Linked DNA regions of Drosophila melanogaster. The protein of the gene in region 1 purifies or fractionates together with the protein of each later gene. This does not show direct contact. Each region holds a gene or a part of one and is shown in the gene's direction. Other genes may lie near its edges.

The links.
Region 2: the proteins of CG32473 (region 1) and PPO1 purify together in Drosophila melanogaster (affinity purification with mass spectrometry, with the first as the bait; one large-scale study listed by BioGRID). This does not show direct contact.

The regions. Positions count from the first base shown.
Region 1 is NT_033777.3:13,303,023-13,307,857, forward strand, and holds the start of CG32473 (uncharacterized protein), read left to right. Parts: upstream 1-1,741; 5' UTR 1,742-2,048; intron 2,049-4,835. Other genes in the region: CG43208 (uncharacterized protein), read left to right, coding at 443-470, 536-729.
Region 2 is NT_033778.4:17,886,593-17,891,820, reverse strand, and holds PPO1 (prophenoloxidase 1), read left to right. Parts: upstream 1-1,847; 5' UTR 1,848-1,920; coding exon 1,921-2,276; intron 2,277-2,333; coding exon 2,334-2,469; intron 2,470-2,538; coding exon 2,539-3,033; intron 3,034-3,107; coding exon 3,108-3,741; intron 3,742-3,898; coding exon 3,899-4,151; intron 4,152-4,210; coding exon 4,211-4,409; 3' UTR 4,410-4,601; downstream 4,602-5,228.

The DNA.
Region 1 (4,835 bases):
CCGAGCCTGGCTCTACCACCACACCTGGCGTAGGAGGTGACACAACCCCCAGTGCAGGAACATCTCCGGGTGGTGAAACTTCGCCATCATCCAGTACAGGAAGCACCACCAATCCCATCTATCCGACATTGCCGACAGGACTTCCTGATCCTGAAAAGGTGAGTGAAGTGCAAGAAAAATATATTTCACGGCTATAAAAGATGTTAGTTCAGAAAAACCCTCACACAGAGTGGGAAAATTTTCAGCGATTAGACGTAAAGTCGGCATGGCTACTAATTTCGAATTTATTAAGTTCCAACTTAGTCTTACTGGTCATTTCAAGTGCTTATCGCTTGGCTAGCGTTTTTTTTCCTCTTTTTTATCATAATACAAAACGGGTCTAATTTCTTGGGTCTTTTAAGTTAGTTTAATTGCGGCTAACGCAGTGTTAGGAGCCACAAAAATGGGACACATGCAGGACAGGATTAAGGGTATTTATTGATAACGAAGGAAGTTTTGGGAAAACACCGATACCGATTCATGTATATTTTCATAGACTTGATCACCGCTGAGCGCGTGGCTATATTCTTTGGTCTATTATCGACCTGCTTGATCGTTGCCCTTGTCATTGTGGCCGTCCACAGGGATAATTTATTGCTGCAGTTGGACGAAGCCAAAAGGATGTTGGATGTTCTGGAGGAATACATTCAAAGCCACTTGTTGTCCACCATTTCGGAAAGAAATTCATAAGAATTAGGGTGCTGGCAAACATTCAAAAAGATGGCTTTCAAATCCATATCTATTTCCAAAAATGGTTAAAGCAATAAAGCAATAAAGGCAAACGGATAAGAAACCAAAATACGCTTAGGTTTCAATATTTGTGTAGTAGAGCTATTGTTGTTTGATATCTGAAATTGCACCTAATAAATTAGGACCCTAATTTCACAACATTTAGCCACTATATCCAGCTAAGGCATATTTGTTGCAACGACGTCCACTTGGTTTACGACCTGACCACAACAGTGCTATTTCCTATCGCCACCTTATCAACGCATTGCTCACTTAATAGGGCCAAAGCCCATTATCGATGGCGTGGATATTAAATAAACTTTACGACCCCGCAGATCGAATGGCGCCTGCCCACGGAACTGACGCCCATCAAGTACAAGGTGTACTACCATCCCGACTTGACGACCGGCGCCTGTGAGGGAACCGTGTCCATTCAGTTCCAGCTGAACGCGATCACCAACCTGATCGTCCTGCACGCCAAGGAGCTCAATGTGCACAGCATCAGCATCCTGAACATGATGGCGCGCATACGCGTGGCCATCGATAGCATCAACTTGGATGAGTCCCGGGAGCTGCTCCTGATCACGCTAAGAGAGGTCCTCAGTATGAACAAGGCCTACACACTGTCCGCAAGTTTCGACTGCGATCTGAGCAGTCTGGTGGGCAGCTACATCAGCAACTACACGAATGCCGATGGAGTAGATAGGTGAGTAATTTTAAGGTATATCTTGCGATGACAAACATTTTGTTAGCATGTCTAGACTAAGATGTCAGGTATCTTTATTATATCGTACTATTTATGTAGCTAAGATCGTATCTAGTGCACTGTCCGCAACTAGTACGATTGCAAGCACACTTGTGAATACCCCCAATGCATTGGAGATCATCGCATGTTGGGGCCATAAAAAAGCCGGTCTCAGCTGATGAGAGAGCTTTCCGGAGAAGCTCGAGTGCCGTGACAACTTTGGAGCCCGCTTCAGTCGGAAGTTCAGAGCAGAGCGCGACGGTCGCGATAGAAAAGAGCGGACTCCGTCTGCAAATACGATCTCAATTACGATTCTCGCGATTCCCCTTTCTTTTCGCTTTTCTTCGTTTTCTCGGATTTCTCGAGTGCGCGCCTACGATTTGAATCAAGAATGATAGCTGTCCGGCAATTGCCGTTATCAAATTAGCCGAGTGAATATTCCTCGGACCCGGCAAAGTTACAATTAATGCCATTCGTAGACAAAAGAAAAACGAAAAACGAGACACGAAAAGCTGTGATTTCAACTGTAAATCAAGTAAAAGGCATAGTGCGAAATGTGACGGGAATAATAGATAATAAGTGGCCCATATCAATCAGATACCGTTGAGTCCGCTCCAAAAGCTCCACGCCAATACAAAATGACCATTGTCACCGCATCGCCGTTATGCGATCAAAATTCTAGTTTTAATTGGGCGCATTGAGGCGATCACTATTTTTAATATTCGCTGAAATGTGACCACCGGATTCTATGCCAACTTTGACTTTCAACGGGTATTCGTTTCGATAAACAACGGGCCATCGCAGGCTGGCCAAGAGAACTCCACATGGCTGAATCAAACAGGTTGCACCGCTCCCTTCCCCTCCCCTCCTTCTTTCCCACACCCCTTTGGGACCGCTGCAAACAGGCTTGGAGCCAAATGCATACATAGTTCACTTGCCGCGCAAGTTCTTGGCCTTAAATCGGCCACAATCGATGCACAGCAAAAAAAAAAAGAAAAGAATTATATCTATCGTAGCCCATTATCAGATTATATTGGTATGTCTCTTATCAACGAGAAGTAGATTCTGTTCGTAGTTGCATTCTTTGACATTTATCAACAATTGTTACCAATCTGATTATAAGAAAAATTAATATCACAGTTTTTTTAATTATCAATATTATCAATATTATAAATTGTATATATAAATACAATTACGGCAATTAGACATTTTACTTCTTCATTAGATCTTCAATTTGTATCTTCGATTTTGTTGGTAATCATTTGCTTATGATTTTTTTTGCTGTGTATCTGTGGTTGTTGGCCAGCAAATGCGTCGTGTTTACATCTTCAATGCGGCAAATACTCAATGGCCGCTGAGAAAATACTTTCTTCAAAAAGCCGCAACAAAATGGGTCGACATCATTGACTGCCAAGAAACTTGTTGTCATAGTAGCTTCCCCTACCCGTTTCTCGCTGTGTTTCCTGGGTTTGTTTTGTTCTTGAAAGTTCAGTCAAAGCTCGGTGGTCAAACCTTTTTTTCATTTTCATTGACACTGATTTCTTTTTCGTTCTTCTTGGGCGAAATAGAAATTTTTTTATTTCCAAACGGTGGGAAAGAACCTTCGAAAGTGGAGGGCTTTTTAATTGGATTTTTGTGCTAATAATGTAAATTAACGGCTGTTGTTGGCAGAATTGATAAGGCACTTGACACCTTTGGCGGTGTGTAAATTATACAATTTAACACCTTGAAGTTCATTGATCTACATGCTGAAATATAAACAATTTCATTGATCTTCTATTTATAAAATATTTATTTATTTATATTTCAATGAACTGTTGATAAAGCTTACATAAATATTTGTAAATATCGCATGGTTTCGAGTTTCCTATTTTCCAATATTGAAGTTATTTATAAAGTGTATATCATGAAATCTATAGCATTAAATTAAGCAAGTCAAGGCCGAAGTTTCCTCTCCGATTTTATAGTTTATTTGTGTTGAAAGTGATGCAACCCATTGATTAATAGTAAATTTATTTCGCATTCCGTTAACCCCAAACATGCAAATTGTGGCAATCATTTCTTTGTCAACGCATCTTCCTTTTATTTATTGTTTTTATTTGAATTTTCCCTTTGTGTATATCATAAATTGCAGGCACGTATAGTCGACCATTGTCAATTTCATCCCACCGCGGGTGTTATGGGTAGTATTTCTTCCATGTCTGGGATTCACTTTGAGTTTTTGGGTGTTTCTGGGGCGCACTTGTCACGTATAACTTTGTGTTTATTGTGAAAGTTATGACCTTAAAAAGCCCGAAGAACGTGTTTCAAATGTAAGCTTTCAGTTTCGAATTCCAAAATTTAAAAGCATCTCTGCTCTGAAGTAAACAAACATATAATGGAGTGACAAACAGGGATATTTATCTGAATGATCTGAATCTGAATTTATCTGACAACACAAATTGTTACTGTTTAGCATAAGAAATGATCCACGTTTCTTATATCAAATAATGTTTAGATTAATTCCTTTTTAAGCTGCTGTATTGCGCATTAGTTTTTTTTTTCTGTGTGCTTTCGACTCGATCTACAAAGTAGTGAAATTTATGCGACTCATTAGCGAAGTATGAGAACTGTTATGTTATGGCTTGTGCCCCCGCGATCATCGCTTCATCGGCTTCAGAATGCCGAGATATTCACATCTGTGCAATGGGGCGTGTCCGATTGGCTGTTGGAAGTCGGAGATATATGAACTCATATGGTACATATGTATATACCAACCATTGTCTGCAGATCTTCTGGTTGCTTTTTTTCCGGCGCTCATAAGGTGGTAGTCATGCAATTTTGTTGACTCCGATGTGCGGTGGCTTTGTGCGATGTGCGCTCCCTAATTGAGTCAGCATTACATCATCCGCGGAAGATGCAAGGGGGCGTATACGTATTATACCATGTGTATCAGAGACAATTGCCTGCCGGCTGGTGAAAATTAGCATATTCTGCAGCCTCGAATTCCTCAATTCGCACAATTCCGAGTGAATGGTGATCCGTGTGATACTTCAGCTGCATCGCGTATTGTTCTTTTTTTTTTGGCTTAATACTCCTATATCCTGACATCATTTTCGAAAAGCAAGCCGTGGATCATGACTCTGCGGGCAACTCAATTCATTTCCAATGCTAATAATGGCATCTGTAATTTCTTGCCATCGCACAACCTGCGGAGATTTGTGCAACAGACTCCGTAAATTGACAGGCAAAAAGCCAACAACCTTTTGTGATCCGTCAATCAATCGTACACAGCGAGAAAAACTATACACTATGATTAAAAAAATGCTATTAAGTAATCATC
Region 2 (5,228 bases), on another chromosome or scaffold:
AAACTTTAATCAGTTTGGTGCCCAAGTGGGCAAACAATTGAAAGCGTAGCCCACTCGAAATTTTGATAACACACTGCCGCAAATTCCTGCGGTTGGCCCACAACTAATGAATAGTTTGGAATGTTCTTTGGGGCGGAGGCATCATGTGTTTTCGAACCTGGCCGCAGAGTGCTTAAGCCAAAATGTAAAATTTAAGCCAGCGGGTAATTAACGCATACCCACAGCTCATTTTATGGACCAGACTTTCGCCCATAAAGCCAAACAGAAAGAGTGCTTGGCGCCTTTTACAAACTTGCGTGGTTTTTAAGACTTGTTGGTAAAAGTTTGGGTTTTTTCCTTTTTTTTTGTTCTGTTTCGCCGGTGAAAGCAGGCTCTGCACGTGTCCTGGCCTAAAGCTTTTGCTTTGGCCCATTTTCATTCTAATTCAATTCACACTGCCAAGTTCGCAGAAGCACACACTTTTCCACAATTTATAATTAATTAAAGCAAGTTTGTCTTTTGGGCTGGAATCTGGAGCACATTTGCCATGGCTGTCGTTGAATATTCAATGAAAAATTACATTGCTCGGATAAATGTTTGCGTGCAGTCAAGTGTTTTCTAGGAAAAGCCAACTTCAATATACTCTGCAATATATTACTATATTACATACATAAGTGGTATGCATGGTTTAAAAGAATCTACAAAAAATCGTATAAAATATTCTTGCCTAAGTTATTTCAAACAAAAATTCAATTGATGGTAGTCAAATTTGGCTTACATTGCTTACCGTACATAGTTCATAAACTGAAAAGATGGTGTATCTGCTGGAACATCGACATTAGCAAAACAAAGTCGAGCAGAAAAGTCATTTTCATGTTGTTATGGCCAGAGTGCAGAAATTGTGAAAATTCATCTTTTCAATTTTCGCCCGAAACCCGCACATTTATGCAAACTTGTTACGCTCGTTTTTGTTGCTGTCAATTTCACAGATTAATGCGCACACATTTCAACGCCAAAGTCGGCAGAAACATTTATTATTGACAATGGCCAAAAGTTTGGCCATTCGCTTTGCTTTTTGGCCAACATCGTTCATTTGGCCAGACGGCGTAGCGACAAAAATTGATTTACAGTATAGATATTTTAATCATCCAAGCTCTCTTGCCAGTTAGTTCTTAGTTACATTCAGCTACACACTGCCATTTCAAAAACCAAATTTATGGGCCATGTCGAAGGACGAGCCCTCTGCTCCAAGCCAAATTTATGGCCTCCCATTCGGCGATGGGCGGTTCTTTTTAAGGGGGCGTGGCAGCCTGTTGAGCAAGTATTCGGTGTTATTTCTATGCGAATAAGAAGCTTTTCCGGTGGCCTTCGGCTTGTTTACTTTGGGAGTTGTATTTCGCGTGGTCGCAAAAAGGTTTCTCGGATACTTTTTCGGCAAAGACAAAGAAATTCAATTTAAGCTTCCTACCCCGGAACTAATAACTCTTCAAAAAGTTGAAAACAATTAATTGGTTGTGGGTATACATTAGGCAGTGCAGTATTGAAAAAAAATCAGTATATGTATCTAACAAGCTCAATACAGTTTCACGTTTAACAACATTCAACTGAAAATCAACAATGGTATATTATTTTATGCAAGCAATTAAAAGTATTTCTCTTATCATTTTGCGGCTCAACAACTTTTGCGGTATTGCACTTTTTGCTTTTTCAGAAGCTATCGACTAAACCACAACGTTTGGATTTGTGAGAAAAAAGGCTCGACCATTGCAGTTTTGCGGTTGGGACTTGATAATGAATATTTTTAAAAATATTATTTTTATATTCGGACTGCTAGTTAGCTATAAAATGAGTTCGGCTTCCTGGGAAAATCACAGTTCTGCAACTGGCTTCGTTGAGTGAAGTTAAAAGTGTAGTTGAAAGTGTACATCCATAGAGAAAACCATGACTAACACGGATCTGAAAGCCTTGGAACTTATGTTCCAGCGACCCCTGGAACCGGCATTCACCACTCGTGACTCCGGAAAAACTGTATTGGAACTGCCCGATTCCTTCTATACGGATCGCTATCGCAATGACACCGAGGAGGTGGGCAATCGATTCTCTAAGGACGTGGATCTGAAGATCCCAATTCAGGAGTTGAGCAACGTTCCCAGTCTGGAGTTCACCAAAAAGATTGGTCTCAAGAATCAATTTTCGCTGTTTAACAATCGCCATCGTGAGATCGCCAGCGAGCTGATCACCCTCTTCATGAGCGCACCAAATCTCAGACAATTCGTGTCGCTTTCCGTTTACACCAAGTAAGTACTTGTACTAAAATAAATATATATGTATTGTATAATGTATTAATTTTTTAGGGATCGTGTGAATCCTGTGTTGTTCCAATACGCCTATGCCGTCGCCGTTGCCCATCGCCCGGATACGCGTGAAGTGCCCATTACCAACATTTCCCAGATCTTTCCGAGCAACTTTGTAGAACCTTCCGCCTTCCGGGTTCGTTTAAGTTCTTCTTTATTTGACCAATCAAAGTCTTTAATGGTGTATTTATAAATTTGACCACAGGATGCCCGTCAGGAAGCTTCTGTTATTGGAGAGAGCGGCGCTCGTGTCCATGTGGACATTCCGCAAAACTACACGGCCTCGGATCGCGAGGATGAACAGCGCCTGGCGTACTTCCGTGAGGACATCGGTGTTAATAGCCATCATTGGCACTGGCACTTGGTCTACCCGACCACCGGACCCACGGAGGTGGTCAACAAGGATCGTCGTGGCGAGCTCTTCTACTACATGCACCACCAGATACTCGCGCGCTACAATGTGGAGCGCTTCTGCAACAATCTGAAGAAGGTTCAGCCGCTGAACAATCTGCGTGTGGAGGTTCCCGAGGGCTACTTCCCCAAGATCCTGTCCAGCACGAATAACCGCACCTATCCCGCCCGAGTGACCAACCAAAAGCTGAGGGACGTGGACCGCCATGATGGGCGTGTGGAGATCTCCGATGTGGAGCGCTGGCGTGATCGCGTGCTGGCTGCCATAGATCAAGGATACGTTGAAGATGTGAGTTGGGCCCGTTTGGAATATTGAGCATAGGTCATAGAAAGCACTAGAAATTTTTATTTGCTAATCCATAGTCTTCTGGCAATCGTATACCATTGGACGAAGTTCGTGGCATCGATATCCTGGGCAACATGATTGAGGCATCGCCAGTCCTATCCATCAACTATAATTTCTATGGCAATCTACACAACGAGGGGCACAACATAATCTCCTTTGCCCACGATCCCGATTACCGTCACTTGGAGGAATTCGGTGTGATGGGCGATGTGACCACGGCCATGAGGGATCCAATCTTCTACAGGTGGCACGGATTCATCGACACGGTGTTCAACAAATTCAAGACTCGCCTGAACCCGTACAATGCCGGTGAGCTTAACTTCGATGGTATTACCGTGGACTACATTGAGGCCAAGATTGGCAAGTCCAATACCAAGGCCAACACCCTGTTGACCTACTGGCAGAAGTCGAGTGCCGACTTGGCAGCTGGCCTGGACTTTGGACCAACGACCGATCGCAACATATTCGCCTCGTTCACCCATCTCCAGAATGCCCCCTTCACTTATACATTCAATGTGACCAATAATGGAGCCAGACGAACGGGTACTTGCCGTATCTTCATCTGCCCCAAGGTGGATGAGCGTAATCAGGCTTTGAATCTGGAGGAGCAGCGACTGTTGGCCATCGAAATGGACAAGTTCACAGTTGATTGTGAGTAATAACTGTATTTCTTAGTATATATATTTATTTAATATTTTGGTATTTAAAAAGTGTTTCTTTCGTACAAAGCTAGCCAGTGATTTTAGCTTATACTTTTCCCTACTGACAACCTCCTACGATCTATTAACATACTTTAATTAATCCCCAGTGGTGCCTGGTGAGAACACCATACGCCGCCAGTCGACAGAGTCCTCGGTGGCCATTCCCTTCGAGCGCTCATTCCGCCCGGTTGGAGCAGACTATCAGCCCAAGGCCGCCGATGAGTTGGCACGCTTCAAGTTTTGCGGATGTGGGTGGCCACAGCATCTCCTGCTGCCCAAGGGCAATGCCCAGGGAATGGTCTTCGACCTGTTCGTCATGATTTCCGATTACTCGCAGGACTCCGTTGAGCAGCCCAAAACGTGAGTGCTATAAACCCAATTTCCCATCATCAGCTGACATTCTCCTTGTCGCCCATTAGACCCAACGATGCCTGCAGCACGGCGTACTCGTTCTGTGGTCTGAAGGACAAATTGTATCCTGACAGACGCACCATGGGCTATCCCTTCGATAGGCGCCTGCCCAATGCCAATCTCACCGAATTGGTCGGTGCCTTTGGCAACATGGCCAAGACCGATTTAAGGATTGTCTTCAATGATCGTGTGATTGACAAGGCCTAGATGATTGCTCCAACTAACAGAGATGATTTTAAGAATCAATGGAAACGGACTTGAAAACGGAAAACTCTTGGAATCATATACACTTTTTGCTATTAACTTATAACTAACCAAACTTGTGCGCGTTTATGTGGTGTTTTATCGTTTCTAATTACACTCTACAAAAATAAATGTATTGTAATATGTGCAGGCAGTAATACAAGCGAGTATTGACACCTAATGAATGCAGTGGGTAGATAGCTTTAGCCAAGAAACTTTTGGTAAGCTTATAATGTATCTAATAGTCCCAATTTACCACCCGGGGAGACCAAAGAATTTTACAGATTTTTATTTATTACTTTTTCAAGGCAAAACAGAGATTACTCGTTTTCGTTGGCCTCAAGCAAGCCAGCCATGGATATGATAAATATTTACTGATATAAGAAATCCTCGTCTAGGAATATTCGCATGCCAAATATTTGCTTAGCAATATTGAATATTATTTATAGCAAAGAAATACAGATACACAGCCGCAGAAGGGCGTTTATTTGTCATAGACAGACACGCCCACATTTGTGCGAACTAATCCTATTAGACTTCAAAGCGCCTTGCTCGACAAACTTTGCGATTGCCCATGTCCAGGAGGCCTTGGCGTTCCATCCACCCACCAAGTGTTGAGGGAAAATAGAAAAAACATCCTCGCAAAACAGCCAACAAAATCGCTGCACGTGTTGCGTTTATTAATTTTTGGCTTTTACCAAGTCGACGGCCTTAATTAAGCATCCACTAGATGTGGATAAAGTTCAAGACTTTGGATTAGCGCAGCACAACAGCTGTCTCAAA